7 separate regions of the Mus musculus genome follow, and regions 1, 2, 3, 4, 6 and 7 are each reported to be linked to region 5. Evidence: microRNA targets listed by miRTarBase, many of them from high-throughput screens and not tested one by one. Region 5 holds a microRNA gene; each other region holds the end of a gene's coding sequence.
The links. Region 5 holds the annotated microRNA mmu-miR-149-5p (UCUGGCUCCGUGUCUUCACUCCC, at 2,397-2,419, opposite strand). A microRNA usually pairs through its seed, bases 2 to 8, with sites in the 3' UTR of a target mRNA and lowers its output. Matches are read on the target gene's strand: a 7mer-m8 pairs with bases 2 to 8, a 7mer-A1 pairs with bases 2 to 7 and ends in A, and an 8mer does both.

Region 1 (4,407 bases), not on the chromosome of region 5:
ATGGGCATTTGTAGCAGCCAGAGGTCAGGATGTCTTCTTCAGTCTCAGTCTGTACTGTGTGTACCTGGTCCCTTCTAGGCCAAAATAGGATATGAGATTCCCTGGAAATAGTTAGAGGTGGCTGTGAACTGACATGTGGGTGCTGGGAATCAAGCTTGCTCTTCTGGAAGAGCAACCAGTGCTCTTACCTGCTGAGCCATCACTCCAGCGCCACCCACCTAGTTTTGTCAGCATAGTCTCTCACTTATCTGAAACACTGGTCACACTGGTCAGACAGAAAGCCTGCGTCTGTCTCCCTGTCCTGGGGTTAGCCAGAGATCCAGACTCACTCTTCATGCTTTCACAGTGAGCGCTGTCCTTACACTCTGGAGTCCAGTCCTGTTCTTCTGTGTAGACATGAAAAAAATTATGCCAGGCAGTGGTGGTAGACGCCTTTATCTCAATACTCAGAAGGCAGAGACAGGTGGGTCTGACCCTTCCTGAGTTTAAGGCCAGCCTGGTCTACAGAGTGAGTTCCAAGACAGTTGGGGCTGCACAGAGAAAAAAAAAAAACCTACCAACCAACGTACAAAAAAAAAAGTTACTAGTATGATGGATACATAAGCTTGAAAAGAAAATGGAAAAGGCATGTTTGTCATGATGATCTGTTGCTGCAACTTGAGCGAAAGTAACTGTGATTTTTCTTTGTGAAACTTTATTTGCAGCACTGGACAGGACACTGTCTCCAACCCTTCTTACATGAACCAGAGCTCTCGTCTTCAGGCAGCTGCTGGTACAGCTGCTTACACACAGCCTGTGGGGATGTCTACAGATGTGTCTTCTTTCCAGAACACAGCATCCGGTTTGCCTCAGCTGGCTGGCTTTCCAGTGGCAGTTCCTGCACCTGTCGCTGCACAGCCACAAGCAAGCTACCACCAGCAGCCTCTCCTGTAGAGACGCACCAGGACCTGCTGAACGGCTTTGTGGGTGTGCTGTTTAATCTAGGGGATTCTAATCTGAAATATTAAAAGTTTCCCCTCTCAGTCAAAAAGAACCATGAATAAATAAAGCACAAAACCCCACCTTACCCTGAAGGCCATAAAAGGTTTTTTTTTCCAGTCCAGTTGGCTTGAAGTTGACCTTTTGGTCAAAGGCAGCTTGGATGTTCTAAGTTAGTCGGGCTGAACTTTCTGGGCCCTTACTGAGTAGCCTTACGACACTACATGATATGAGGTAGGAGTGTGGAATTTTCTCTTTAAAGAACCCGTTGTTTCCTCTTAAGATGTGATTTTTGAGGAGCACTGAAGACCTTGAAACATTTTTTGTCTGCACTTCCCCCACCCCTTGAATTTCCCACACCCTGTTATTTTAAAAGGCGAGCATCTTTTAGTGCAAGCCTTTAGCTTGCCAGCATATTTCCTGTTGGCTCCTTAAATTACAGTTGTGTTTGCAGTACTGTCAGGTTTGCTCTCAGTGTAATGCTGAGTAGTAATTAGCAGATACTTGTCTACAGAAGCAAGAACAATTTGGAAGGTACAAAAATGGTTTCTGTCATTACCAGTGAAAACCATGTAAATGCAAATATTGTGGAGCAGTTAGCCAGTCCTCTGACAGACGAGGGCCAGGGACTGCCCCAGGAGATGTTAGCCTTCCCCAGAAAGGGCATCCTCTCATACTCGTGTCCCTGGTATTTAGAATTGTTTTCTAGTGTCTTTTGGTGGATGTCTAATGAAGGTGCTGTCCTTTGGATTTCCTGCCTGCTACATATGCAGACACTGCACTTCCTTCTTAGGGATTCTCAGTGAATCTGAGCCAGGAGACACTCCCCATAACCTGATGTGATAGGAACCATCATGGGTATCAGTGTGAGGTGGGCGTTCCTTTCTTACAGAAAGCTGTCATCGTGTGCCATTGGGAAGGGATTGTGTGTCCCCTAGAAGTAGTTGTGAGCCTTTGCAGGAGCAGCAGGCAGCGGTGTGGTGGCCACAGGCTGACAGGACAGCAGTCAGCTGCTTGTCTGAAGCTCCTGTCTTACGTTAGGTCTTAGTACAGTTCCACATACTGTAAGAGTTGGTGGCAAACCCAAGGGAATTTTCTCTTACAGCTTTGCACACTACTTTATTATATCAGCTTTTTACACAACATAAACTAGAAAACATAGATGCACAGGACTCGGATCCATGATATTTACACTGGGAAATGTTCTAAATGGGATTTTTTAAAATTTAAAATTTTTGCATGAATGCACTTCTGTATATTTTTTTAAGCCCTTAAACTTTATTAAAAATCCATTGTGAGACAATTTGGAAATCTTATCGTTTATCTGTTTACGATACTTGGTTATAAGTATGTTTTTTTTCCAAAGAAACTGTATTCTAGAACCTACTACTGCATAAAATAGCCAGCACAGAAGAGAGCGTGGGCCGTCCCTGCAAGCCTGTATCTTGTCAGTGTCTGGTTGTCAGATGCAGGACCCTGGAAGGCTTTTCAGTCCTTAGCCCTCACCTTCTGTGTTTCACACGGCCTTCTCCCTTCAGCTGGACTCATTGAGTCCTTACAAGGATGGAGTGCGTGCAAAATGGTACCTTACTGTTTCTAGAACAGCCTTCTGCTCTTCAAAGATTAAGTAAATAAATGTAAAAGTCCAGAGCTGCCCTTGATAACGTTTGTGTAGAGGAATGCGTCTTCCCTGCCCTTCCAAACTGTGTTTAATAAGCTCATGCTAGTGTTTGTGCATTTCATGTTCAGTTATTGTCTAAATTATAAAAGCTTTATTTAGTCAGTGTAAATACTGCGTTCTCATTAAGTGGGGACCAGCCATTGAAGCTTAGCCGTTTTGGAATACTAAAATATGCCACATGACCTGTATATAAATAGTGTATATTAGTGTCTGTGAAGTTTAATATATGTAGAAATTTCTTCCTCCTACATTTTATTTTTTTCCATTCATAAATTTGTGTTGCAGAGTTATTGTTAGCCTAAAATATTAAATCTGTATTGATCTGATTTCAGTATTAATACGATATGTAAAGATATATATTTTCCCATGATCCAGTTGAACTGTACTTATTTTAAGATGTTTGTAGCTATTTATTTTCAGCCAAAGGAATAGTTTACCTTCAGATTTCTACATTGGGTTCATATTTAATGTTTTCTAACAAAAATTTTTGAATTTCATTTTTCATATAAATCTTGATATATTAGAAAATTCTTAAAAATATATAGAATTTTATAGTATAAAACATTTCCTTGGGTGTTAAGTGGAGTATGTTTGAAAAGTCAACAGTCAGCCAATGTTGTCTTTTTATTTGGTAATTTGCTTACAAAATTACCTACACATTATCTTTTTGCTTAGCATTTAAATATGTATTTCCATTATGCTATTTCAAGTACTTGATTTTTGACTAATGATTGTACTGTATACTGAAGATGATAATAAAGTTTCATCCACATTTTGAAAAATAATTGTAAATGTGGCTGGTCTAGGGATATAACTCAGTGATAAATAGAGCTTTTTCTTCACCCGCCCCCCCAACATTGCAAAATGGGGGAAAGATGGCCTTAGGGATCTTTTTTGACTTTTAATGAAGTTTTATGTGTTTCAGGTTTATAGGTGTTTTGTCTGCATGTGCATCTATGCACCACATGCATGCCTGGTTCACTCTGAGGCCAGAAGAGGGCATCAGCTCCTCTGGGACTAGAGTTAGGGAGGGTTGTGAGCCGCCTCTCCACCTCTGGAATCTCTTTAAAGGCTTTTCTTAGTGAAAGACAAAGTGTAAGGCTCCTGTCTACTTCCGGGTCGGGCTTTGTTGAATTGTTGCTTTAGTGTGACACCAGTGTTGTCCTTAAGGCTGACAAATTATACACAACACAGCACCAACTTAATGATTCTACTAAAAGGTTGATTTCTTTCTTAATTACTTCAATGTTGGCTCATAGATAAAGTTTCTGGCTTTTTGTTTTTCCCCAAAGGAAAAATTACTATAAATTTGTGAAGCTAAGTTTGAATTTGAGAGATGTTTTTCTTCTTTTAATGTAGCTTACACGATTGAGTGAAATGAAGTGTCCCAAGCTCATGTTTACTTAGAATGTCATACGTGACCTTGTTTGAAATGGTCTGAGGGTAAAGTTAGCTCAGGGTTCTGGAGTGGAGCCGTTTCCACAAAGGATGGACTCTGAATCAGTGATGAATGGTTTCTTCATAAGAAGATGAAAGGCACCGGGCAGTGGTGGTGCACGCCTTTAATCCTAGCACTTGGGAGGCAGAGGCAGGTGGATTTCTGAGTTCGAGGCCAGCCTGGTCTACAGGGTGAGTTCCAGGACAGCCAGGGCTACACAGAAAAACCCTGTCTCGAAAAACCAAAAAAAAAAAAAAAGAAGAAGAAGAAGAAGATGAAAGGCAGGATCCAGTGGACGAGGCTGCATGCA
Region 2 (4,407 bases), not on the chromosome of region 5:
AGGAGGAGGAGGAACAGCAGCAGCAGCCTGGAGGAACCATCTTAGGAGAGGGTAAATAGTAAAAGCTGCAGGGTACTAAGTAGGTCCTAAGTAGTTCTGGCTCTGGCTGAGGGGAGAAAGTCAGAGGAGGCCAAAACTTGGGCCCTAGGCAACTGAGTGAAATTAAATAAAGGTCAGACTGCCTTTGGAGGCGGTAGGTGGCAGAGCCCAAGAACTCACTCCTCCAGTACCAAGGGTACCTGGGATGTGCTCAGCCAAACTCCTCCATTGGACCCTTCCAGCCCTGGGGGATCTTTAGGATTCGTCTGGGTCTGGTATGAGCCTTCTAGAGCAGCCATGGCTTCTGGGGCTCTATCCTGAAGCCTCCTGTTGGCTGTAGCTCTTCCTGAGGTGCGAGTGGGAGTGGGGGAGTGGACAGGGACCAGGCTCAGGGCTAGGGGCCTTTGCCTTTTCCTGGCCTTGCTTTGCCACTGGTCAAATGAGGAGGAGCCAGGAGTGCTGAGTGGTCTTTAGGCTGTGAATAGGTTTACTGGGGGCTAGCAGGGTGGCTCAGTGGGTAAAAGTGCTTGCCACGGAAGCCCCAGACACCTAAGTTGGATCTCAGAATCCATAGGAGTGCCCTCACCACAGACAGAGTAAAAGGCAGGGTTCCCTCCAGCACCCCTGACACTGTTCTTCCCTTCCAGGGCCAGCTCTTCCGCGGCTCCAGCCTGCTTTTCCGCCGGGTGTCATCGGGGTCATGCTTTGCCCTGGAGTAACCTAAGCTGCCCGACCAAACATTTATGGGGTCTTAGCCTACCCCTGGTGAGGACCCATCATCTCAGATGCCCAAGGGTGACTCCAGCCCAGCCTGGCTTCATGTCCATATTTGCCATGTGTCTGTCCAGATGTGGGCTGGTGGAGGTGGGTCACCTGGGACCTGGGGAAGCCTGGGGGAGCAGTGTTGGGGTGGCATCCCCTTCCTGCCTAGAGGTACTGGAGTCCATCTTGTACTCAGGCAGAGGCAGGCTGCAGAGGCAAACGTCACTCAGTGGCAAGGCTTCCCTGCACCTCTAGCCCAGCTCATCCTGCCAGTCAGCCAGAAGCACCCCCGCCCCCCACTTCCTGCTTTGTAAATTGGGCGCCATCACACCTGGGCCATGGGAGGCTGGAGCTATGTTCCCAACACTAATTTTCTTATACAAGGGTGGTGCCTTCTCCTGAATAGGAAATCATGTTCTCCTCAGACCATCCCCTCATCTGCTTGTCTGTGCTGGTGACGCCAGGTGTGAGGGTTCAGTCACTGTGCTGGGTGCGAATACGCACAGGTTACATAGGCCGACATCTAGTCCTCCCCTCGTGGTAAGATAGACCCATCTCCTCGAATAAATGTATTGGTGGTGATTTGGACTTCTGTGCAAGCCTCTTATTTATGTGAGTTTTGCCAGACCCTGTGCTGGTATCTTAGGTCTGTGGGTGGCCAGGCTGGGCCAAGTGGGGTGACATGGTTGAGTCCTTGTGTCAGAGTCCCACCAAAGCTGCCAAGTGGCACCTAACACCTTCTGAAGATGTTCCCAGGCCTTCAGAGCCTCTAGGTACATGAGACACAGGGAAGGAAGTGAAGTGGCCAGTCACCTTCTGACCAGCATAATGTGTGACCTGACAGACCTAGTTGCTAGGTCTCCGTGGGGACAGAATGACATGGTCCCTGCCCTTGGGACAGGACCATTGGGCGTGGGCCTCCAGGGGTGTCAGTGGCCACTATGAGCACAAGGCTTGTTTGTATAACAATGTGCATATTTTACATTCTCATTAGCGTTAGTAAGACTCCATAATAGTCAGAAACACCGCGAGCAGAGCTGGAAGCAAAGGTGTAGCAATGTCTCAGCAAAAGGGTAAATGCTGGGACCTTCAGGACAGCTCTCAGGGCTGTGGGAAAGCCGGGCATGGTGGTGCACGCCTTTAATCCCAGCACTTGTCTTCCCTGAGGTCTGTAGGAGGCTGCCTGGCCTAAAGTGAAAGGCTTTGATTGGTGTGACTGCTCAGCATGAGGCCCTACTGTTCCCAGGTATTATCCTCTTATCTATTAAGAAGTTTGGGCTTGACCAGGCCTGAGCTGAGCTACCAGCGGGGAGGGATGACTGGAGGGGAGGAGGTGTCCGTGAGGAAGCCAGACTTTCCTCATGGGTAACCTTATTCTTCGGGAAAGTTGGAAAGGCCTATGACAGGCCTTTTGAGGCTTTCTGATAAGGAGACAGCTGTGGCCTAAGCTGTCCTCCTTCAACTGTCCCTCGTTATCACTGCCAGTTGCCACAATGCTCAGAGGCTACTGGGATACCAGCCAGCTTGCCTGCCTGCCTGCCTGCCTGCCTCTCTCTCTCTTTCTCTCTCTCCTCTCTCTCTCTCCTCCCTCTCTCCCTCTCCCTCTCCCTCTCCCTCTCCCTCTCCCTCTCCCTCTCCCTCTCCCTCTCCCTCTCCCTCTCCCTCTCCCTCTCCCTCTCCAGTTCAGCTGTGTTGGCAGGTCCCCTCCCTGCCCATCTGTTAGAGCATGACTCCTCCCTGATCCATCACACTGGCCCCAGGTGCATAAATAAATGGGTGACTAATCTCCTGATCTTTGGCAGGCACATTCACAGGGCAGAACTGCAGACGGCCAGCAGATGCCCTTGCTGGGCAAGAGACAGGAAGAGCCACAGGGAAACCAGTATAGGCTGGGTCTGCTTGGCCCAGAGACCCCCATCCCTGACTGCCCAGGCCCAACACACTAGCTCAAGAGAACAGACCTTCCCAGGAATGCAGTTGCTTTAGCATCTGAAGATCAGTTAATGTCATATACTCTGACCACATGACCATCTCAATCGGAACAGAAAAGGCCTTTGAGAAAAGTCAACATGCTTTCACAATAAAATCTTTCACCCAGACAAGGAACAAAACAATTTCAATGGTGGGGACTAGAGAGGGGGAAAAACACTTGTCACACAAGCAGAAGGACCCGAGTTTGAGCTAGCACCCACACCAAAGCTAGGTGCAGTGATGCAGGCCTGTAACCCCAGCATTAGGAGCAGCAGTGGGCGGGGTGTGGAGACAGATCCCTGAAGCTCATTGGATAACCATCCTAGGCAAACTAAGCCTCAGTATTTGTAAGAGACCCCATCTCACACACAAAAAAAAAAACAAGGTGATAACCTGAGACTGGCCTCTGGCCTGCACATGTGCACACATGCATGAGCACAGCACACAAGCTTGTATGCACAGCGCATACAAGGATGGGTGGACCTTGAAGAGATGTTAGGTAGTCACAAAACATATTTGTGGAGGACTTAAATGAAAGTCAAAGACCAGCAAGTGCAGGCCCATGAAATGGCTCAGCGGGTGAAGGTGTTTGTTACCGAGCCTGACCCATATGGTGAGGGGAGAGGAGGTTCTCCAGTCTCCACGAGAGCATGAGTCCCCCCACCCCCCAAAAAACGGAAGGAATAGGAAAGGTGCGTACAGATGGAAAATAGGTCAGCAGTTGTTTTAGGCTGAAGGGGGTGGGAAAAGCAGGCAATAGTGGGTAAGGTGCTTCTATGGTAAGGTAATGAAAAAGTCCCCTCTTAGTACTAGCAGAGCTACACAGTCCCCCAATGAGTATACTAAACAATGTCAAGCTAGGGTCGGCCAATTGGCTCAGTAACCACCAAGCCTGACAAAGTGCATGGGGGGGGGGGAGCTATCCCAGCAGGCTTGCCCTCTGACCTCTGCATGCACCCCCCACCCACACAGACACTAAATAAATACATATCCAGAACTCTGAGTTGTAGGCTTCAGGTTTTTTCCAGCCAGGTGTGGTGGATCTCTGAGTTCGAGGCTAGCCTGGTCTACAGATAGCATTCCAGGACAGCCAGAGCTACACAGAGACCTGATCTCAGAAAAAACAAAAACAAACAAAAAAAAACAACAACAACAACAAATACACTCAAATAAAGATGATGGGAACACGGTACTTGTGTACTGTTACACATGAATGGAGGATGGAGGGCTGTGTGCTTTTACCCATGAGCTGTCACATTGGCCCCAGACACATAGATCAATGGGTGACTTCTGGGTCTTTATTGAGAGAAGTAGCCATGCTGTACTAGCCTGGCCAAGACTCCTTCCTAGCCCCTCTTACTTCCTGTCCCTTGTGTTCCTGACCACACAGAACTTCTGGACCACTCCATTCTGATCCCCAGAGAGGTTTCTGGGCCTCGGAGCTCTGTCTCAGGGCTCCTTCAAAGCACCTAAGTTGCCCAAAACCTTGCCAAGTTGAAACTTGTGACCAGGACAGGCCTGAGCATCAGTCCCCTTGTGGAAAATGTCTCAATCCCCAAAGCCATAGGGGTAAACCCCACTGATAACTTTTGGTCCTTCCTTCTGCTCTTCTTCCTGCAAGGCAACCTGTGGCTT
Region 3 (4,407 bases), not on the chromosome of region 5:
CCCTACCTTCAGAATGCTGGGATTAAAGGTGCAGTGTACCACCTTGCTCAGCTATCTGTGGGCTTTTTTTATACCCTTGTAAACCAGGCTGCAGTGAGCATCTCATCTACGTTTCTGCCTTTGAACTCTGCTGGTGTTTCTGTCATGACCAGTGTGCAGAGATATTCCGAGTGTAGCCCACCTCATAGGGAACCTGTGGTGGCCATGACACTTCTTCACCCATCCTGTGCCCATTTTCTGCCCTCCCAAACACATGCAGAGACACACCACCTGTCCCCTCTGCGTGCTCTCAGTTTCCCTGGCCACCACCTTTTCTCAAGCATCCTGTGTCCCTCCTCATCCTTCCGTATCCGCTGGTCTGCCCTGCAGAGACGAGGCATGAAGGGGAAAGCCAGGAAACTATTCTACAAGGCCATTGTCCGAGGCAAGGAGACACTGCGCATCGGGGACTGTGCGGTCTTCCTTTCGGCCGGCCGGCCCAACCTGCCCTACATAGGCCGCATCGAGAGCTTGTGGGAGTCCTGGGGCAGCAACATGGTGGTGAAGGTCAAATGGTTCTACCACCCAGAGGAGACCAAGCTGGGGAAGCGGCAGAGTGACGGGAAGGTGAGGTGTGGGCAGGTGCGGTGGGGGCCCAGCCCCTGCCCTGGGTCTCTGGGGGAATGGGCGCTTTCCTTGGGTGTGGCATGTTTCTGCCGAGGTCGGCCCCGACACTGTATGTGTTCCCTCGCCCGGCAGAACGCACTGTACCAGTCCTGCCACGAAGATGAGAATGACGTGCAGACCATCTCCCACAAATGTCAGGTGGTGGGCCGAGAGCAGTATGAACAGATGATGCGGGGCCGCAAGTACCAGGACCAGCAGGACCTGTACTACTTGGCAGGCACCTATGATCCTACTACTGGGCGCCTGGTGACAGCTGACGGCGTGCCCGTCCTGTGCTGAGCTGCTTCTGCCTCTGCCCACCCTCGCCCATGACTGCAGCCAAGAGGTCAGCCAGCCAGGAGCTGGTCTGAGCAAATATGCAACCCCCCCAAGGCGGGATCAGGCTTCTCTTCGAAGTTCTCTGGAGAGAGCTCCTAGGATAGACCCCCCGAGTCCCATCCTAGCTGCTCCAGGGGGAGAGCCAGGCTGGTCCCACGGGGACCGGCTGCTCTGCCGCTGCACCGCAGTTCTCGAGAGATTAGAATCCAAGCCATATTTCCCTAGTACCTCCGACTGTCTCCCACCAGGGAAAGCAGAAATCAGGTGTGTTGTCTATTTATTTCTCTATGTAAATATTGTATTTCTGTGGGGAAGTTTTATGGGGGAAAAAGTGGAAAAGAATTTTCCCCACCTTTGCGACAAGGGTGGATGCGCGACGAGGGTGTGTGTGTGTGTGTGTGTGTGTGTGTGTGTGCGTGCGCGTATGCGTGTGTGCGTGTAGGGGTTTTTGTCCTGGGGTTTTCTTTGGAAGTGCACTGTTCTCAGCCTAGTTGAATTCCAACAGGGGCATCTGTGACTGCAGAGGCTGCTGGAATGGGGGCGTGGCCAAAGGCCGTGGGATGGTCACATGAGACCCAGTCATACCCTCCAATCTCTTGGGGGCCAACTGTGAAGGAAATTACACTGCGGTTTATTTCCTTTCAATACATCCCATCCATGAAAGTATTTGGGTGGGGGCAGTGATGGCGGTCCCCTGGAACGACCAGGGGTTCCAACCACAGGATGAGAACCAGGATCAGCCTGCGGGCCGGTACCGGCCTGCCCCACTCTACAGCCCAGGAGTATGGCAACAGCCACGTATCTCTTACCTCTGTTTAAAACAAAACAAATGAACAAATATTTTGAAATATCAATAAGAAAAATGGATGTTTAGACTTTCTTTCCTGAATATTCCAAGTTATTTCTGGTTTCCGTTTCCATGGCCAGTTTGATGCAGGGAGAGAAGCCTGGCCTTGCTCGAGCAGGGTGCAGGCGGCCCCCGGCCCCCTCCGTCCCCACCAGCTCTCGGCCCCTTCCTTATCCTCCAGGGCAACAGCTGCCTTCCCCCAAGAGCTGCAGGGCTTCCAATGGTGCAGCTGGTCCAGCTCCCTGTCTGGGCCAGAATTTGGGGCCCGTCTGGGGCTGGTCCACAGTTCTGCATGAGAACATTCTCACCACTAAGATGCACCCCCTTTCCCCACCAGATACTTTCCCTGGGGTCCCACCACCTCTGGATAGCCTCAAGTGTGGATAGCCATGAGGCTGAGCCAGAGGTTCTGGAGTCACAACAGTAGAAAGGCGATGCTGCTCACCCAAGGGGGCGCCCATCCGGCTCCCCTTCTCTCAACCTAGACCCTGATCCTGGGCCCCCTCTGCCCACCCCACACCTACACAGTTTCTGGACCTTTTTTATATCCACTCAGCAGGGCAGATAGCATGGCAGGCTCATGCACAGAGTATATACAACAAGGGTCCCTTCTGGCCTCTTGTACACACATCCTGACCCCAAGTACCAGGAAAGCCAGGCAGTCCTCACTTCTCCCATGATGGAAAGAGCAGGCTAGACCCATGGACCAAAAGCCTTTGTTCTCAGAAATGCCTTGTGGCACCCGTGCTCCCCAGTGTCCACTCGGCCAAGGCTTCCTAGGAAGTGGGGAGTACTGGAGGTCACCCAGCCCTAACTGGGAACCCCCGGCCTCTCTTCCTTTGCTCAGGCCCGCCAAGAGTCTATCCTGATCCCAGGGACTCTGTTTTTCTTACTAGTTGCTCCAAGGGTCCCTCTTGGTGGTCCACAGGAACACCAAGGGTGCCCGTTCCTGGCTGTCCCACCACCCTGAGGGTTTCTGTTCTCCACATGAGTGCAATATTCCATCCTTGGTGGTCATCAGAAGAGATGACCACCAGGGTCCTGCTCACAGCCAGGGAATCAGGAAGATGGTGACTTAAGAATCAAGACCAGGGCTGTCACTAGAAAGGCTGCCCGGAACCCCAGTACCCAGGAGCCCCGGAGCAAGTAGAAAGGCTGTTGTCCTGTGTGCTACCTTCTCCGCGTTTCTTCTGCCCTCTGCTGAACTGTCCTCTTGCTCTGTCTTTATCTTTAGGTCCCCCCATCCTTTTCCTTTCTTTCTGTGTGTACACGCAAATGGCGTGACTCCTCCTCCCCAACTGTGGCTAACGTGGTAAAAAGCACGAATCTTGTAAATGTGTAAACTAAGAGGCTGGTTGGTTGGTTTGTTGTTTTTTTTTTTCAATGTAAACACTAAATACAAAAACAAAAAAACAAAGGTTTTATGAACAGCAGACTCTATGTAAAGGCATTTTACTATTAAATTTTTTATTGATAACTTGCTTAAGAATAAATATATGACTATTGTACAGGTGTTCAGTGGTCCGGATTGTGACTGTACCTGCCTCCTTTATGTGTGTCACATGGTCATTCCTGTGTGGGCTGAGGAGAAACTGTCTAGCATGGGTTCGGGTGGCCTTAGGCTTAGAGACCCCACTGTACCCCATCCCCAGTCTTAGGCCTTTCTTGACCCTGGAGCTGGACTTGTTAGTCAGGTCTGGATATTAGTCACCTTTCCAGCCTGAACCAGTTCGTACAGTAGAGTCCACAAAACACAGGGCAAGTGGTAGAAGAGCCCTACCCGCTGCTCCATATTTGTGAACGCTGCCTGCCTTGCCGAGGGCTGAATGGGTTTGATCAACAACAACAACAAAAAAAAAATTTTCCTGCCAGACAGCTATGCCAAGAATAATAAGAAACAGTCTTGATAGACGTGGTGGCGCACGCCTGTGACCTCAGCGCTCAGGTTGCAGAAGCAGAGGAGCCCCCTTGAGTTTAAAGCAGGCTTGGTCCTCATAACAAGTTCCAAGCCGGCCAAGGATTACACGGTGAGACCCTATCTGTTCCGGGTAAAAAGTTCTCATTGCTAAGCAAAGGACTGACTGCAAGTCTAGCAGCCAAGATCAGAGGGAAAGAGACAGGACCATATGTGGCCTGATCAGGAGGCTGCAGAGCCAAAGAAAGCCCAACACTGACCAGGCAAGACAGCTGGGACTTGTAATTCTCTCCTGAATCCCTGAGATGAAATTCCAGCAGGACATACACAACAGCAAGGTTGGCTCTGGGAGTTGAGTGGGGTCCTCAGCTTCCCACTTCCATGTGTACGGATGTGCATATACACACACCCCAGCCCTGCCCGGCTGCTATGTCTCTCTCTCCAGTGTTAACCTCCTGCCCTTCCCTGAACTGCTTTGCTAAGGGATGCCCCTCTCACGGAAACAGGGTAAGCTCTAAGTGCCTGTGTGGTCCAGCAGGTATCTGACTACCACCAAATTCTTCCTTCACCCCATTCCAAGTCCCACCAAAAGCTGATAGGTAAGGACCCTAAGGTCAGGTGTGCAGGGTGCAGTAGTCAGCTATGGGGGCTGTACACTGAG
Region 4 (4,407 bases), not on the chromosome of region 5:
AAATCAGAAAATGACTGTTGGTCTCCAACAAATCTTTTGTAACCATAACTTACTGACGGGTTGCCTAAATGGAAACACATAATACTGAGGAATTCCTACAATTTTTTTTCTCTAGTTTGCATGCTCCCACTAACATCACAAACAATATGCCTATCTGCAAAATCAAATCTTAAGCCCATAGGGTCCATTAGACAGACCTGGAGGTGGGATTATGAGTTTGCAAATGGTGTTCTAGCTACAGAGATATTAAACCATTTCCTAGACACCAGATTTTCTCCCTGCTTACTTAGCACAGTAGAGCTAGTGAGATGTCACTGATTATTTGTAACTAAGAGTGGTCCAACGATGAACTGAACCAAATGGTATCATACGTAGTGGCACATTCTGTAGCTTTATCTTGACTACATACAAGGTAGTCAACAGCAGAGTTCAGATTCTATAAGAACATCGTATGCTGATGAACGAGTGGTCATCAATACAGAAAACCAAACACAGCTGAAGTTACTTCAGGATCAAAATCTCTAAGAATGCTGGCTGGCATTTTGAGAAACTCAAAGCTCTTCACAGTAGCTGCTCAGTCTATTTCTGTCTCATATTCTCTACCATGTTCCCATGCAGAAAATCTGGACAGGGGATGATCTGAGGTTTTAAAAACCTTTCTCACCTGCAAATGTATTTCTAAGTATTGGCTGAAAGTTCTCTCTGAAAACTGAGAGTGATGCTCGTGTTTCTCTCTGATCTTGACTGTGTCCACTGTGGGAAGGCTCTCCTGAAGACAAATACTGACACGTGGGCCACCTGGGCTTAAGACAACGTTGAGAGTTCAGGAAATAATGTCAGAGAGAAAAATGAAAACCTCTATCCCAAACTGAAAAGAAACACTGTAAACCAAGACATCTAGTGATCTGGTAAACAATGTGGATGGAAGCTGTGAATGTGAAAATCTGCTCACATGAAAACCTTTAGCTGTGGAAAGTTAACATAGCTGCCCGTAAGAATTACAATAGCTTCTGGTTCTGCCTGTTAAGTATGTCTTACTCAACTGCATTCTTGGTATGCTTCTTAAGACAGCAAGATTGTTAGTCAGACAGAGTCTTCCTAAAACAAAAGACTGCATTGGGCACAAGTTGTGAAATATGGGTTAATGTCTACAGTAATTAATTATCTGAAAATACTCCTTAGAATATAGTGCAGTGGAGAATTGCCAAGTTTTATGTTGTGATGTTTCCCAGTGCACGATTAGCACTGCATCTCCCCAATTCAGATCCTGCTTCTTTGCAGGGCAAAGAGTTCTCACAGTTAACTGAGAGGTTGTGCCACTCACTGTGTCTCCAAAGGAGAAAGACGGAGATCTTACAGCTGTGTAGTCCCTGATCTAACTGCTGACTTAATGTCCTTCCTCTATGGGTTCTGACAAGCTAAACAAGTAAAAATCTACCAGCTCTCCATCTTGTGGACCCATGAAGAACAACGTCTAGCCCCTGCTGCAAAAGGCAAGTGCAGAGATTACAGGTACACCCACTTTACATGAATATGATAGTTAAGACTTACAGAAGTTTTAAGTTCTTCTGTTTTTTTTTATGAAAACTTTTTCAATATTCAAATGGATTTTAAGGCTGTTTTACCAAATATCAACATGAAAATCCAGATATGCCCATATTATGGTAAAAGGATGTTTTCAAGAAATGAGCTCAACTGATGTGTGAAAATGTTAAGAATAAAATGCACATTTTCCTTTTTTCCCCTAGACATATCTAAAGGCCACAAATGCCCAGGCAGCCACTTAAATGCCTATAATCTACTCATATGCGAATCACTATTTTATTTAGTTTATATTCTAAGAAAATTTGAAGTTCAAGTATTTATAATTTTAAATGGACTCACAATAAAAATTCAACAAAGTAAACTTTTTGTTTTTTTCAAAGTAAACTTTGAATTCAACAAATACCCATTGAGTTTTATGGAGAAACATCAGCTGTGTTTTGAACCTATCAATTCCCAACAACCTTTTGGGTAAACCCAGGTTTTCTTATTACTTTTTAACACAGGGAAAGTCTCAACTTCCCACTCTTCATTTACACACCATTTGGATTTCTATTCACAATCTGTTTGGTACAGAGTTACTCCACTCTGACTCTTTGAGGAGACAAGAGCCATACAAAGTGCTAGGTTGAAATGAGCTCATCTCAAAGCAACTGCTGGGAATGAATCGTGAATATTCATGACTTTCTCTTTAGCACAACTGCTGCCAATTGCCTTCCCTTGAGCTTGGAAATATTTATGTTGCTTCCTCAGACACAGGTTTAGTGTCCATCCTTATTTCAGTTCTTCTGTGCACATACATGGCCAAACAAAACAAAACAAAACAAAACAAAACAAAACAAGACAAGACAAAACAAACAAAACCTTTACCTTGTGTTTTCTTAAAGAGAACACCCAATGCCTCTGTATCTTTCTATTATGACATTACTGTAAAACTTGTAGTTCTGCAACCCATGGAGAACAGCCTGTATCATAACAGAAATTTTCTCTGGAGTAACAAAGGCCCTCTACATGGTGGGCATTAATAACCTCAGCCTTAGCTTCTATAGGTACTCAGAAAGATGTATAGATAACCTGGTGTGCACATGAGAGGGTGCTATGCAAACTATTACTAACAAATGTTGGCAGTTCTAAAAAGGACAGTGAATAACTGCTGAAATGTTGTTGTCTCTTACCGTCCTAAGACAATTCTACATAAAGCACAGAAGTGATTTTCTGGAAGATAGAATCCAAAACTCTACAGACCACTACTTGCTTCTCTGCTTTAGATCATCATATGGTAAGGTAATTTGAGGTTAAATCTAATTTCTGCCATTTATAATTATATTAAAGTTTCCCTAAATAACTTAAGGACAGTGACCACATTATGTGAATATTTCTGACAAGATTACAAATAATCAAAAATATTGAGATTTAAAACCCAGTACTATCTGGAAAATTTGCTTATAAGTTATATGTGAAATAAAACAGTTCTGAAACACTTAGAATACATGCTTATTCCATTTTCTGGATATAATTACTTTCTGAAATCTGTTGAGGGCTAATTTTTATAAAAAGAGAACACAATTCCAGAAACTGGATGCCAAGATTACACAGAGACAAAAATCCCAAATAGTTCAACACTGAGTTTGCTAGCACTGACTTCATATAAAAGGCCTGAAAAAAGTCGTTGTTAGATGCAAATACTGAATTCTGAGTCTTCGTGTACATGTTGCATACTCTGTCAAATTAATGAAGCATGGTCTTGGATTGTCTTCTGATGAGGTATCTGCAGGGTGACAGCTCATTCTGTAAACAGCACTCTGGAAGTTCTTTGTCTGAAATCATGCAAATATTAGTCAGAGCGGAGTCTGTCTTGGGGAGACTGGTGCTTGACATGGACACAGCTGTCAGGGACTCCATTAGGTTTACATTTATTGCTCTCAAGTCTGTACTTCAGGATAAACAAGGCCGTAGACCCCGAGGACATACACCTGGAACTCAGGTACTGGAACTGTGACAATTTGCACAAGTTCTGATCACTTCTTGTCTGTAACTCTGGAGCTGAATAGTGCATTTGTACATGCCAAACGTGTTCAGTAATAAATGCTTAGCTTTGGACTGTACTTCTTCCCATTTAGATGAACTTCCAGGAACTGCAACATCAAGAAAATATCCAATTATTTATTGTATACTGCCATACATTAGAAGACAAGACACAGAGGAAGCAACAGCAAGCTACAAGCATATGCTCATCTGATGTCTCTTAAGCCCTTCTACTGCAGAAGGCAGTTTCTAAGCCCAGAATCTGAGCTTCTCATGACCTTAGTCTTTCCAATCCATGCTCAGTAGAGAGAACATTACAAACAATTACAAGCCTCTTGCTTACTTATAGTCCTTAAGGACTAAGTGCATATGTTAGTTTGATTTTAAAAAGCCACCAATCTCTGATATGATTTAAATAAGAGTTTGGCTTTTATTATATAAAAGATGGCATAGTACATGTATGTAATATCTTTAAAATGCAGGCAAGTATCAATTTGTAACATCTTCTCTTAAAAAGGTAAACCAATTTAAATGTTTTTATTTATTTATTTGGAGTTCTGGGAATAAACGCAGGGCCTCAAACATGGGAGTGCCAGTGCTTGACACTGAACTGCCTTCCCAGCCCTTGTTACCCTTTCACCTACAATTCATCTTTTGAAGAGCCTCCTCCCTCCCTGAAGTCTTCTTATCAGAAAAATATTCACACATATGAACAGCTCAGATGCTGACTTGTAGGACAGAAGTCTGTCCCCATGAACCCCATGAGCAACATACTTAGCTGCATGTGAACTATGGCAGTGGATTTTCCAGAAGTGAGAGACCAGATATTCAAATCTTCCA
Region 5 (4,407 bases):
TCTGCGCAGGCACTGGGTCCCAAACAGAGGCCACTCAACCCTGGCCTGAGGTTCCCACTAGCTGGACACATTCCCAGTCCCCATAGTGTTCTGGCTGAAACTCCCTCCCCCGCCATCTATCCTGGGCTGGTGAGCTGACCTGTCAGCCCTTGGTGGCACTGCAGCAGTACCATTCAGGACAATATCAACTGCCACTTGCTGACAGAGGGTTGCTTTGGGCCTACAATTGGCCTCAAAGTGTCTACCATGGAGCCCTTACAGCACACACCTGAGAGTCTCCTGGCATCAGAAGAAAACCTCAATGGGAGAGGAAACCTTCTGCTAAGGCTATAGTGACACCAATTTACAGGGAATCTGAGGCTTGGAGACTGGCTTTTGTCCCAGTTGGGGGCTGAGCTACTCAGGACTGGGCCTATGCCTGACCCCACTCTGTTCTACTCCCTTCTCATAGGGTCACACTGCTGTCTCTGAGCCTAAAGACAGAGCCCTACAGTCCCTACAAGGGACTGGGTGGATCAAAAAGGCAGAGGCAGTGGCCCAGCCTTAGGTGAAAGGTCTGAGAAGAGGGAGCGGTCAGCAGGGATTCTAGAAGCTTCCCTCGTGCAGGAATGCTGATTTTGATGTTATGGGGAGCCAGTGAAATGCAGAGTTTCCAGAGCCCAGAGTAGGTGCCAGGGCTGGTACCTGGGCTTTATCCTTGCTGACGGGTTGATGGGAAAGGTGGGATGTGAAGAACTCCAGGATGTGATACTGCAGGCTGCCATCAGAGGTGGGGGACTGAGCCAGAGGGGAGTGGACATCTTGTCAAGAAGCATGTGGGGGCAGGAACCTGTGACCTCAGGATGAGGCCATTATGTGTTAGGCCCCATTTCTATGAACCCCCCTCCCCTGAAGCCAACTGGGAGTGGAGATCTCTGACTAAGGAGAGATTCTGAGGTTGCATTCACCCTTAAGAGCTTGTTACATGATCACATCCTTGTCTTTAGCACTTAGTAAGCACAAGCATTTATGTGTGCTGGATGGTGTGTGTGTGTGTGTGTGTGTGTGTGTGTGTGTGTGTGTGCATATTGCAGAGTGGAACTGTGTACAGCCTCTGTGATTTTGACCTGACATGGAAGGTATATATCCCCAGATGCCACCCCTCCATCCCTAGGTAGGGCAACCTTCAGATCTGCTCTTCCAGGTCTCAGGTTGAGGGCCTGGCCTAGCCCTTCTCCTGCTTACTAAGGCATGGGAGCTGTGCTTCATCCCAGAACCCTGGGGACTTTTGGCCTCACAGGCTGAGTCCCACCTGGTTTCAGGGTCCCCAAAGGTCCACAGAGCAGGGCAGTGGCTGACAGCTGGTAGAAGAACAGAAGGAATTGTATTCTGATTCAAGGGTGCTTGGGGGAGTCAAGAGAAAAGGGAGTCAGAGATGGGAGGTGCACACGGAATGCCCCTCCCACCACTCCCCTACCTGGTACCCTCTGCTCCTACCACACTGCTTCCTCCTGCCCAGGGCACCTGCCTTTCACAGGGACTGCAGGTCCTGGGAAGCAACATGTTATTAAGCACCCAACCTCAAGAAAGGGCTGGGTTGGTGCCCAGACAGCTGGGAGCTGCAAGCCTAGGTCCTGCCACTTGATCTGCATCCATTGATTGATTCCCTTCCTTCTAGAGTAGGGAGGGCTAAGCAGAGATTATCCACCCGCAAGCAGGCTACAGGCACAACAAGGTACAGGGCCCAGCAGGGCCTTCTATTTGCTCTGCTCCGGGCCATGGTCTGCTGGGCTGAGGTGATATGCCACATCTCTCTCTTTGAGTGGTGGGGTTTAAGGGTTTTTCTGTTAGAGGAGGAATCATGGGGGGCACTGTAGAGGATGACCCATCTCTGACTTCAGCAGTGAGTGGGGAAACAGCTATGGGGATGGAGGCTGCAGGTATCAGGATGGGGCCATCCTGGGCTCAGCTGGGACAGAGGCACTCTGTGTGTGTAGGCCAAAGGTTTTAGGTGGAAATATTGAGGACCAGGCTGCACAACAGAGCACTGGCAAGAGAGAGGTGGGCACAGCCTTACTGGCCCCTCCCATGGTTTCTGCTCCTCTGACATCCTTCTCCATCTTAGTGGTCCCAATTGCCACCCCTCACCACATAGACAGAAGAACGAAGCTGAAACAGGAAGAAGTTAATTAAGGACACACACTCAGAAACAGAAACTCGCCCCACTCCACGGCAGGTTCTGGATAAATGGGACCCATGAGACTTTTGGCCAGCTACTATGAGCATACCCCATCCAATGGCCTCCCCTGCAGCCCCCTGGCTCTGCCTGGCCACCTCACCCAGCCAGCCCGGTGACCTGCGCTGTTCCAGTTGCCCCAGCACCGCCCCCGTCCCTCCCTCCCTCCTCGGACAAACACGGGAGTGAAGACACGGAGCCAGAGCCTGGGCACTGGCCTGAGGGCCCCGGGCAGGCTGGGTCAGGCTGCCCAGAAGCCCATGCATTGGCAGACCTGCTTGCTGAGGGTCAAAGATAGAGGAGCTGAGACCCAGCCCAACTGGAACCATAGGTGCTCAACATCAGAACAGCTAAGGCAGGCTCTGCAAAGCTCTCTACACTTCCAGGAAAGCACTGGAGTACATACCCATCGTAGGAACGTCTCTCCGTTCTACCCTACCAGCAGCTTCCTCCTTGCCAGCCCTGAAGGTGGGTGGGAGTGGAGCGGCAGTATTGTTCCCCACTGACCCCGCCCATCTCTCTCAGAGTTGGTTTCATTTTTCCAGATCTTTCCCTCCTGGGTTTTTGGGGGGCACTACCCTCCCCTGGCACTCACAGGTTTTATTTGGGGAAGGGGGTTGTTTGTTAATGGCAGGTTTTCCCCACTTTAGTCCCTTTTCTAAGCCTTGTCCCCAACCCCAAAGCCTCTCAAATTCCAAGACCCCTGCTTCTTGTGACACTTAGCATGGCACCCCATTGCAGCAAACCCATGGGCAGCAACTGCTCATTTACCTCCTCCCAAATCTGGCTGCTTGCACCCCACCCCCGGCCCCCCACTATTCTCCAGAGCAGACAGCAGCTTGTGGCTTCCTACCTTTCAGGGTCACACCCTCCTGCCACCTGCTGACAGCTCCAGCTCCTGCTCCTCCCTCACAGAGGCAGCATCCCTCTTGGTCATCATCCACAGTCACCCCAGGACTTTAGCAGAGTCCAGCATCCTGATGCTACCCACAGACATCTCTGACCTGACCTCCCCTGACACTTCAGGGACCCAATGCCTTGAAACCCTCCACCTTCTGAAGATAATGCAGAGTCATGCTACCCCGCCTCTGGTCCATTCTTCTAGAAGCTTCCTGTGCTCACGGGGGAGATGCAGAGTGGAAAGCCCACTTCCCTCACGGCCCCTAAAACACTCCAGCTGGCACGGCTTGGGGGAGTGTAGGGGCATTCGGAGTATAATCTCTCAGCACCGCAGATAAGGGAGAGGCACAGGCTACACTCCCCTCCCCAGCTGCTGGCTCCTAGAGCAGGCCTTTCTGTTGACTGGTAGGTTAGAAGTAAACCAGCCCTCTGTGCTCCTGGGTTTTCCAGCCCCAGAGGCTGAGAGTCTCCAGGACGTGACAGCCTGGAGCAAATGGCCCAGCTTTCTGGGGGACTACTCACTGCCCAGGCTCCAGGGGCATTTTCCCATTGCTTGCTCCTGTTCCCCAACAAACCTGTCTAGTCCCCGGGGGTCACACCCGAAGGAAGACATTTCAACTCCATCTCTGAAATTGGAAAAGCATCAAGCACAATCCCCTCCCCGCCCCCACCTCACTCCCAATACTTTTCCACCCTCCTGGATGCCTTCATGATTCCCGAGCCCCTGCCTCCGGTTCACCCAAATGGCAACATCACCAAGAAGAACCTCCATCACGAACAGGGACCCCCTAACTGGGGGGCATCGGCTGCTGGCACTTCTATGGACTCGATGGGAGGGGTCATCTCCGGGCAGGCAAGGGCTCCTGCCAGCTGCCTCTCCAGCATCAGGCCAGGCCCTGGGCGAACAAAGCCTGGGCGACACCTGCAGCTCCGACCGACCGCTGCCTCCTCTGCAACGGGGATGGTTCTGTACAGCTGGAGCCGGTAAGATAAGCCGGAGCTGCAGATGCAGGCGCCTGCTCTGGCGCCGCAGTGAGGAGGGGGCGCTGGTGCAGTGGGCGCGGCTGGTGCGGAGAGCTGAGTGCTGCGGCAGGCAGAGGGGGGCATTTGGAGGGGGGCTGCGGAAAGCGGGAGATGGAGGGAGAGGAGAGAGGGCGATGTGATTGGCGGGGAAGGGGCTTGCCGCAGTGGGCGCGGCGGCAGAAAAAGGAGGGAGAAAAGCGAGCGCCATGGCTGTGGCGGCGGGGGCGGGGTGAAAGGGGGGATGGGTTCAGTAGAGGAAGGGGGACTTA
Region 6 (4,407 bases), not on the chromosome of region 5:
TTCTGTCTGGCTAAACCTTCCTCTCATGCCAGCTTCTGGGAAGATGTTACTCTGCGGCATTTGGAGACTGGCTGACGCATTTGACTATTCTGCCATGAATACACTTGCCATCGTCCATGCAGAGGGATAGTCTCATATCCTACAATACTTCCCTTGCACCTCATTTCATCAGGCACCACTTTTTTGTTTTTGTTTTTTTTAAGGCAGAGTCTTACATTTAAAAAATAGAAATTGGAGCAGCAATTTCTAAAGCTCGCCACAATGTGATAAGCAAAACAAAGGCCCTGTTTGGTATTGATCCTAATGCTGCCCATTTGGGAGCTCTGAGAAGGAACATGAACTTCAAAGTTACAGTTTGAAATGGGAGGGAACCAAGAACTATGAGGATCCAAGACACAGTAACATAGTAGAGTAGGGAAGGAACTTAGCGCAGGTTGTAGGGTCAGGTGTAAGGTAGCCAGCAGCCTGGAGTCTATGAGTGAAATAATGATTCAGTCCCTGGGTCTACTCAGAGCTGGAAAATTGTGTGCTAATTCCCCAGTTTACATCACATGGATTTGTGAGGCATTTATAGCAGTCCATCAGACAGAGGAAGAAGTTCCTCAAGGAATTAAATGTACCCAAGCTATACGTACCACCCTTGAGTCAGAACAACAGAGCAAATAGCTTTGCTTTCTTCTTGGAGCACCCCTGGTGAAACGTTCCATGTTTTTACACAGGGTCACATCTTCGTCTTTGGATATTCCCCCAACAATTTCACAAGTGTCAGTCTTCAGAAGGGGCTTGTCTGGGCATCTCATTTCGGGGGCCATAGCCCCTCTCCTTTTATCTGGTCACAGTTCCACTCTGTAGTTATCACCTGGTGTTGTGTTTTGTTTCTCTTCCAGAGTGAAAGAATTGAAAAAGGCCAAGGAACTTGAAGACATACAGCAGCATCCCTTAGCAATGTGACATTGCTTCTCAGACTCTTTCCATTTCTGTTTTTAGCAGAGACATGCAACAACAACACACACGCTCGTGCACACATACACACACACACACACACACATATATACACACACACACACAAAATCCCTCTGCAGTTCTGGGGAGTCAGCTGCAGGATTTTAACGAGAATGTTTGGTCATTACATTTGCACTCTCATGGACAACTTTTAATTTGATCAGCAAGACATCTTGGAACTCAAATCTTCTGTTGGATCACAGGAAAAACAAGACACCAGGAGGAACTGGAAGGGCTTCATCTTAGGAGGAAGCCGCTTTCCTTGTCATTAGGGCTGTATTCAAACATCGTGTGGAACTGTACAAATATTTATACCAAAAATATAGATAAGAACAGGCGGGGCGACGTCAGCCACACGAGGAGCGCTGCGCCTGCACCTGCGGTGACTTCCAAGAAGCTGAATCCTTGGTTCTCAGTGGAGGGCTTAGATCACCCGAGTTGTGCGAGTCCGCCTGTCCTCATCTCCTTCACTGTTCTCTTTTGAGTTTCTGTTTCGTTTTTTTTTCTTTCTTTCTGTCTGTCGGTTTGTCCGTCCGTTCGTTTGAATCTCTACAGCACACTTAATGCAACTTTTAAAATCTGCAGGTTTTTAATGTCTTGTGAAAATTTGCAGAGGGGTGGGTGTGTGGTAAACGGGTAATGCACGGGAAATAATGAGAAACAGCTTACGGGATTTAAATTCATTTTCTTGCCCCCCCCCCCACCTCCCAGGAATCTGCAAGGATAGTGGCCATCCTGTCCCTTCTCATGGTCAGCACTTTAGTTTGTCTGCCCCACTATCTTGCAGTGAGGATTACTTAAGACTTGGTAACGCATGTAGCCTTTTTTAGTAACCTTGGAAACCTTAGTAATTCCAAGAGATCATAAACCTTGCCTGGACATTTGCCACCTAAACGACCAGTGTGGTGCTGCATTCTGGCCAGTAAATTCCATGTTTTGGCTCTATCTCATCCAAACAGAGTGGTTTCTGTGTACATACAAAAGGTAGAAATGGAGAAAAAAAGCGAGAAAATATTTGAAAGGGGTTATATTAATTGCTAAATATTTTATTCACAGAGGTCAATAACATGGCAAGATGAAATTATTTGTATAGTTTTGTCTGAGCGAGAACAATGTGGATGTATTGTTTGTATATATTGTATATATTAAAACAAAGATGTGCATGAATTCAAGAAAAAGAACAAAAGCAAAGCATTAGTGGCTATGGTCTGTAAAATGAAACAAAAAAAACTTTATTTCACTATAAGAGTACTTTATTTTAAATGTTCTGTAGAAGAACATTTTGCTAAAGCATGACCTGCAAAAAATAAAAAGGAGCTACTGTATTTAGACTTAGGAAAAGAGGCAGAGTAGCATTACTTTAAAAAAAAAAAAAAAAGGATATGTTTACATTTAATTTTGGCTATCAGGAGTTTATTTTATTTTATTTAAAAAAAATTTTTTTGCCAAAGGTGCCAAGTAATGTGAATGCTAATATTGCTTAAAAAAATTAAGTTACTTTTGCAAAATAGATAATCATAAGATGAATCCTTAGAGACCTTAACACCATCCACTCACACCAACAAAGAACATTAGGATGATCAATGTTTAGGAAAAAAAATTAGGACAAAATGAGAAAAATATCACATTTTCATATCTCCTGCTGGAAATTAAAAAACAAACAACAACAAAAACCACGAATAAAAATTGCTCACTCGACAAAATAAAAGGGAAACCCGGTGGAGATTGGTGTTGACGGAAGGGTGCCACGGTACAGTACTTTCCAGGTAATGAGGAGCCAAAGAAATCTGATGCTTTCAAAGCTAACTTATGAGAGAACCAATTTTGCATTTGCTAATGCCAGTTTAAAACTCCCAGGTTAAGTGTGAGAATTGGTTGGTATGAGATTTTCTTTTTTTAAAAAACAAAAAACAAAAAACAAACCAACATGGTTCTGGCTGCCAACCGTGAGTTAAAACTCGAGGCTTGTTGTGAAGCCTAAAAATATTCACAAATGAGCTTTAAGCTGGTGTCTTCAGAAGGAAGGTAGAAACAAAAGGATTGTGGTTAAAAATAATAATAATAATAAAAACTGGGGTCAGTGCTCTCGGTGCCTTTTCTATAATTGTACTTGTTTTTTAATTACTTCCTTTCACTGCCAACCTCAAATTACTGTACAGTACATGTCTTTCTGCTTGTGATCAGCTTGGAACAGCGACAGCCCCACAGCTAGGAGCCACCTGTACATTTGTAAGCTGACCCGACCCAATTTTGTTTTTACATGTGTGGGTTATGTTGCAGCTGTTGCAATCCTCGACCCCCCTACCCCCGCCCCCACCACACCTATTATTTTACACAATTTGACCTGTCTGAGGACACTGAGTAATTTACATAAACAATTGTATTCATAACAGGGAATAGAATGTAAAGCCAGCTCTTTTCAGAATATCCTATCTCAATCATGGATCTGGATACATTTACTCCATTGCTTATGGTTCAGATGACCAATCATTTGACCAGAGCAATGACCTCAGTGGATTTGCTTCAACCCTCACATTTATTTTTTAGTGTTTCACATGCCACATTAGCTGAATATGTTAGAAAACTCTGGAAGATAAAGACTTACATAGAATTAGGAAGTTCTTATGGAGGAGATAGAAGTAGGGTCAAAACCTACCAGTACAACTGTGAATTCTAGGTGAGGTCGAAGCATACTTCCACTGACACAAAGCATTTATGACCACCTTTTTTGATTGTAACTCTTAATTTTGAATATAAGGTGATAGGCGCAGCTTTCTTGGATAATCTGAATTCCCAAGTGCCAGGAGTAGGATTTCATGATAAAATTAATAGCTAATCTTATTCTGTCTCCTGAAGATTTAATTGCTATCCTTGTTACCCATTCAAAATCAGCTGTACTGTGTGAATGAAATAAAGACATTAAGATGAACCCCTTTCTGGCTGCACGGTCGCTTATGGCAGTTCCACACAGTAGTTGGCGCCCAACGGGGGGTCCCTGAGACTTGCATGTAAAACTAGTCTAGATGTCTCCTTTTTTGTAAGTTTTATTTTTGTAATTGTGCATGTAAAGCATCATTGAGTCAATGGATCTGTTGAAGAACTCAGCTGCTGGAAACCATGCAAAATGTTTTGAATTGCCCTTAAAAATATGGAAAATGTTTTCTGAATGCTTTATATTCTTTCTGCTGTAAATTAAAAATGAAGAAAATTTCCCCATATTATCTGTGTTTTGCTTTAACCTGATCTGAAATCCAAGGTGTTGACAGTGAGGTCATAGTTAGAACTGGAAGTATTATTTTACTTTCCACATGCAGTGTTCTCCCACCCAGCCTTTCACTTAGAGCCACTTTCCCAAAGCACTTCCTTTCTACCTACCTTGCCTGGTTCCTTAACACATCGATTTAT
Region 7 (4,407 bases), not on the chromosome of region 5:
TGTTATCACCTTCTGCTTTCTGCTTCTAGGCAGAAGGGACTGTTGAGCCCCACATGCACTGACCAGCTTCCCACTCACCAACTGGTCAGAGCCAAGTGTCACTTTGTAGTAATTATCCCATCATGTCTGAGAAGTCTGTCAGTGTGCTGGTCACTTGCTTTCCAAAGGACCTGATCACTTTGGGAACTGGTAGGACACCTCACCCACCCACTGCACTGTCCTAGGTACGTCCTTGTCTTCATTCCTGGAATATTTTCCATGTCCCCCCCCCACCCCACCCCCGCCACAAACTTACTCCCCCATAGCTGGACTTATTTCTCTTAAAATTGTTTCCAAATATGTTGAGTTACTTTGTTCTGTTTGGGGTAAGGGGACTAACCCTTCCGGATCAGATTGGTAGATATAGAAGGGGAGGATGCTGGAGAATCTCCACTCAAGAGAGGGTAAAGCAAAAGTCAGCAAGGGTGAAGGGCAGTGTGTACTGCCCAGTCAGTGGTATCTGCTCCCTTTGTTAGATGCAAAAGAAATGGCCAGGTGGCTAGACCCAGAAGGGACCTCTGGGGAAGACCCTCTATAAGGAACCACCAGGGGTGGTGTGGGTTTGGGCTTCCTCTCCAGTCTGGGTTCTAAAATATCCAGGCTTCAGTGAGCTGGCAGACCCCCACTGCACAGGCTGTGCTCAGATCCTGGGATCAGAGTGAATCTGTGGGTGAGCCCTTGGGGCCTTCAGCTAGGCTTTAAGGAAACCATCTATCTTTAAATTTGAGGGCCAGGGATCAACGGAATCCACTTGTACGTGATGCCAATTTATCCTGAGCAACACTTCTAGCCCACAAAGCTGGATACACCCTCAGAAACTGGAATACTCCATTCCTCGAATTTGGACCCAGTGGCTGCTGGAGGACAGAGCCACTGAGACTTTAGGACAGCAGGAGTTGTCACCTCGAACTGCCTTTAAAACTGCTCAGCTCAGTTAAACAGGGAGTGACTACCACATGAAGCCCTGGACTTAAGTGCTGTGCCCCAAAACATGTCACTGGGTCTTCTGACCTCAGCTGACCCATCTGTCTAAAGGATTATGAGAGAGTTCACACTCAGTGTCTTTGGGTATGTTGTCACTGTTGAAAGGTCAAAGATAGGTCTTCCAGGAGTTCTGAAGTAAGTTACTAAGAGCTGGGTTTCCTTAAAATTTAAGAGGGGGACTTTCGATGCCATCCACAAAGTTAAAAGGTGCATCTGAATGTGTCGTGGTCCCAGCTGCAACTGCCTTCCAAAGGGCACGTACAGGACAGTAAAGGCCGAGGCTTGTGGGGAGAGCAACACCAGCAAGACTGGCAGGAGCAGAGATTTCTGCTGTCTCCAGTGCTGTTTTCTCATTTGGGGCTTTGAAATCTACTAAGCCCCACAACCCCCAAACTAGGAACAAAAGATGACAGAGTGGGCTCAGGTGGGAAAAGTTTTGAAGCAGGGAAAGTGCTGAGGACATAGCCGAGTCCCCAACTGGCTGGCACATCACACTGCCTGAACTACAGTCAGACTGTAGAAGCAGTGGGGCCCTTGAAACTACTGTGGCTGTGGCCAGAGATCCTGTCACAGGTCCCTGTTCCCAATCTCACCTCCCCCAAGAACCAAGATATAAAACTTTGTAACAGTCCTGATGCTTCAGTGTTTTTATTTTTAGGAATGTATACTGTCACTTGTAAAGGGACAGAGGGAGGGACTGCATCCATCACAGCGCCAAGGCTATGCCTGGGTGCTTCCCCACTCTGCTCTTGGAGTCACTGCTAAAACCCCAAGGCCAACAAAGTCCCTTCAACTTGAGTACAGGAAATAGTTTCAAGCATTGACAATTCTTACACATGATTATTCAAGGAATGCAAGACAGCCACGGTTCAGACAAATCAACTACAGAAAGTATTAAGAGACGGTGTGGAGGGAGGCCCTGCTTCTTAAAGTAAACGTGAAGGAAGCACAGTGGGAGGAGGCTCTGCCCTCGGCCAGCGGGACTGGAGGCAGGGTCAGGGTGGGATGCGGGGGTCAAGTCCACAGAACTCAGGGACACCTTGCTCTCTTCCATCTGCAGAAACCCAGAACCACTCGTTGTCTAGACAGGATTGGGGTATGTGTGAATACCCAGGGAGGACCAGAGGGACCAAAGGAATCAAAGGGAGAGACATCTCTGTCCTTTAGACCCCAGGGGAAGAGCTCCCTGTCCAGGCCTGGAAACCACAAGGGCTCTGCTTCAGATGCAGTTGCCGGAGGGTGACACGCCTCCAGCCGACACCACAAGCATGGTGCTGCTTTCTCACTTCCACAGACGCTGGAGTTTCATAGGATGATTTGGCTGTGCAAAGACATCCCCAGTGTATTGTGAAGACACAGGTTCTTGTGTTGGCCAGATCTGTTCATAGATTGAGGAGGCAGTAGCCATTAGACTTGAAGTACGAATGTGATGTTTGCTGTTGGCAGTGGGCCAGAGGGTGGGGGAACCAGGCAGCTCTGAGGGTTAAGCAAGGGGGTGCAGGAAACTGTTGAACACACTGGCCAGCTGTCTCCAGATGGAGCCACACCATTCAGAGGAAAGAGGTGGGCTTGGTCCTAGAGGGGCAGAATGGAGCAGGGTCTGGCTGGTTGATCTGATGCTAGAACCAGATTCTACAGAGGCTCCCACATACCCACAAGTCACTGTCAGAGGGGGAGGAGTCAAAGAAGCCCATCCCAGAGTGGGAGGCCAGCCTGCCCTGCCACCTACAACACTTGTATGTAAATGAAGATCCTCAAAGGAGCAGGGCAGAGATTCCAGGGCCCTGTGCCCTGTCCGTGACCCAGCTTCTGAAGCCATCTGATAGAATGAAAGTACATTTACTAATGGAGAAGTAATATTTGCATCTCCAGTCTTTGATGCAGTTCAGAATCAATGCCTCTGGCCTTTTAGAAACATTAATTCTATGCAGGGCTTTGTCACTTCTGCTGAGACCAGAAGAATCCCAGTGCACCGGCAGGATGCTCTGCCTTTACCTTTGCCGTCTGGGCAAAGCTGCTCTGCCCACTATGCTCACCCTCTGCTTTTCACAAACAGCTGGGGCCTGGGGCCAACACCACACGTGCCCAGGGCCAGCTTCTGGGAGTGCTCATGGAGGGGCAGATGGAGGCATAGCGACATTCCATGGAATGCTGGTGCACTCTAGTTAGTGCTTGTGGACCCCTACTGGGACGTGCTTGGTTTGGGTACCTTCCTCGGTCCCACTGGCCGATTCTCAACTTCCCTGCTGCCCAGGAAGGGAAGTTCCTTGGTGGGCCAGCACGGCCTGTTACTGGGTAGGGCTTGCCTGTCCCAACCACAGTTTACCACATTCCTGTTGTTCGACAATCCCTGACCACGGTTGTCAACTCCTGCCCTTGTAAACATTTCACCAATCCTTTATGTTCACCTCTATCCTCTGGGGTGGGGAAGGAGAAACCTCATCACAGGAAGGCATCCTAGGAGGGAAGGATGACAGAGCAGGGGCCTGCCTGCGCATCTGCAGGTGACATCACTGGCCCCTGACATCATTTACAGAGAACTGATGGGATGGAATCAAACCCACAAGAGGCCAGTGCAGCAAAGGAAAAGGAGATGAAAAAAACCTCCGCAAAACGAAGCCCGAGGGGCCTGGGCTCCATGTGACCAAGAACTGTCTGTGCTACATATGGAATGGTAGCATTTCCATTTCCTTTAATCTTGGCCTCTTCCCTTGAGAAAAGGGAGGTGGGGACTTGGCTGGACCCCACCTTGAAATCCCAAAGAAAGCAGTTCTTGGTACCATCTATTATGGTTCTACCATTAAAAAAGGGGGGAGTGGGTAAAAAAAGCTCCTATCCTCTGGCCCGGTGTGATGAGGAATGCCATGACCGCCCTCTGACCCCAGGAGAAACGCGCCCCACTATCAGTCATTGGGTACTGGACAGAGGTAAAAGTTCTTTTCCTCCTGGGGTTTGCTGATCCAATTCCCATAGCCCATGTCTCGCAGGCTTTTCTTGAAGTAGTTCTTGGCTAAGTCATAGTCACGGGCAGCTTTCTTGGCTTCACCATAAGAGAGCTGCAGTAAATCTCTGCGGGCTCGGAAGGAGCAGAGCTTCTTAAACTGAAGGAAAATATTCTTCTTGGACACCCGAGACAACTCTTTCCCTGGTCTGGGGAAACAAAGGCACGTGTTATTCATCTGGGAGCAGGTGAGGTGGGGGCTAAGGTGTGGATTTTGCACAGGGTGGATGGCCCTGAACTCAGTACTAGCAGGCAGGGGCCTGCCCCTGGGCGTCTGGAAGGAAGCCTGCCTGGGCCTCTCCTGTGCCCTCCCACTCCTTACCCATCCACAGTGCCTCTGGTGCCATCCAGGATCTCTAGGTCATAGCCATCAGCCATGCACC

Region 1: the mRNA of Stam2 is a reported target of mmu-miR-149-5p. Seed matches in the 3' UTR shown: 7mer-m8 at 1,789-1,795.
Region 2: miRTarBase lists Mtch1 as a target of mmu-miR-149-5p. Seed matches in the 3' UTR shown: 7mer-A1 at 1,077-1,083.
Region 3: the mRNA of Bahcc1 is a reported target of mmu-miR-149-5p. Seed matches in the 3' UTR shown: 7mer-m8 at 1,124-1,130 and 8mer at 2,229-2,236.
Region 4: miRTarBase lists Slc30a4 as a target of mmu-miR-149-5p. The part of its 3' UTR that is shown has no 7-base or 8-base seed match.
Region 6: miRTarBase lists Camta1 as a target of mmu-miR-149-5p. The part of its 3' UTR that is shown has no 7-base or 8-base seed match.
Region 7: the mRNA of Adar is a reported target of mmu-miR-149-5p. Seed matches in the 3' UTR shown: 7mer-A1 at 2,623-2,629.

Annotation. Positions count from the first base shown.
Region 1 is chr2:52,691,235-52,695,641 of GRCm38, reverse strand. Stam2 (signal transducing adaptor molecule (SH3 domain and ITAM motif) 2) reads left to right here. Exons shown (of 14, transcript NM_019667.2): 14 at 705-3,436. The coding sequence ends at 933. Gm46741 (predicted gene, 46741) reads left to right here. Exons shown (of 3, transcript NR_166060.1): 3 at 1-1,066. Among named protein-coding and RNA genes, the nearest start is that of Gm46741, 5.7 kb to the left of the region's middle.
Region 2 is chr17:29,329,058-29,333,464 of GRCm38, reverse strand. It overlaps Mtch1 (mitochondrial carrier 1), which reads left to right. Exons shown (of 12, transcript NM_019880.4): 12 at 687-1,389. The coding sequence ends at 758. Among named protein-coding and RNA genes, the nearest start is that of Gm46603, 4.3 kb to the right of the region's middle.
Region 3 is chr11:120,288,939-120,293,345 of GRCm38, forward strand. It overlaps Bahcc1 (BAH domain and coiled-coil containing 1), which reads left to right. Exons shown (of 28, transcript NM_001347621.2): 27 at 370-606; 28 at 739-3,359. The coding sequence ends at 945. Among named protein-coding and RNA genes, the nearest start is that of Gm11772, 53 kb to the left of the region's middle.
Region 4 is chr2:122,681,657-122,686,063 of GRCm38, forward strand. It overlaps Slc30a4 (solute carrier family 30 (zinc transporter), member 4), which reads right to left. Exons shown (of 7, transcript NM_011774.3): 6 at 4,342-4,407; 7 at 1-3,677. The coding sequence ends at 3,523. Among named protein-coding and RNA genes, the nearest start is that of 4930417H01Rik, 19 kb to the right of the region's middle.
Region 5 is chr1:92,848,393-92,852,799 of GRCm38, reverse strand. It overlaps Mir149 (microRNA 149), which reads right to left and starts at 2,422; the gene lies at 2,357-2,422. The region is part of intron 1 of Gpc1 (glypican 1); the gene reads right to left. Gm29480 (predicted gene 29480) reads left to right here and starts at 4,003. Exons shown (of 4, transcript NR_166170.1): 1 at 4,003-4,099.
Region 6 is chr4:151,059,336-151,063,742 of GRCm38, reverse strand. Camta1 (calmodulin binding transcription activator 1) reads left to right here. Exons shown (of 24, transcript NM_001081557.3): 24 at 888-4,220. The coding sequence ends at 920. Among named protein-coding and RNA genes, the nearest start is that of Vamp3, 3.6 kb to the right of the region's middle.
Region 7 is chr3:89,750,695-89,755,101 of GRCm38, reverse strand. It overlaps Adar (adenosine deaminase, RNA-specific), which reads right to left. Exons shown (of 15, transcript NM_001146296.1): 14 at 4,347-4,407; 15 at 1,647-4,173. The coding sequence ends at 3,927. It overlaps Chrnb2 (cholinergic receptor, nicotinic, beta polypeptide 2 (neuronal)), which reads left to right. Exons shown (of 6, transcript NM_009602.4): 6 at 1-1,654. Among named protein-coding and RNA genes, the nearest start is that of Chrnb2, 12 kb to the left of the region's middle.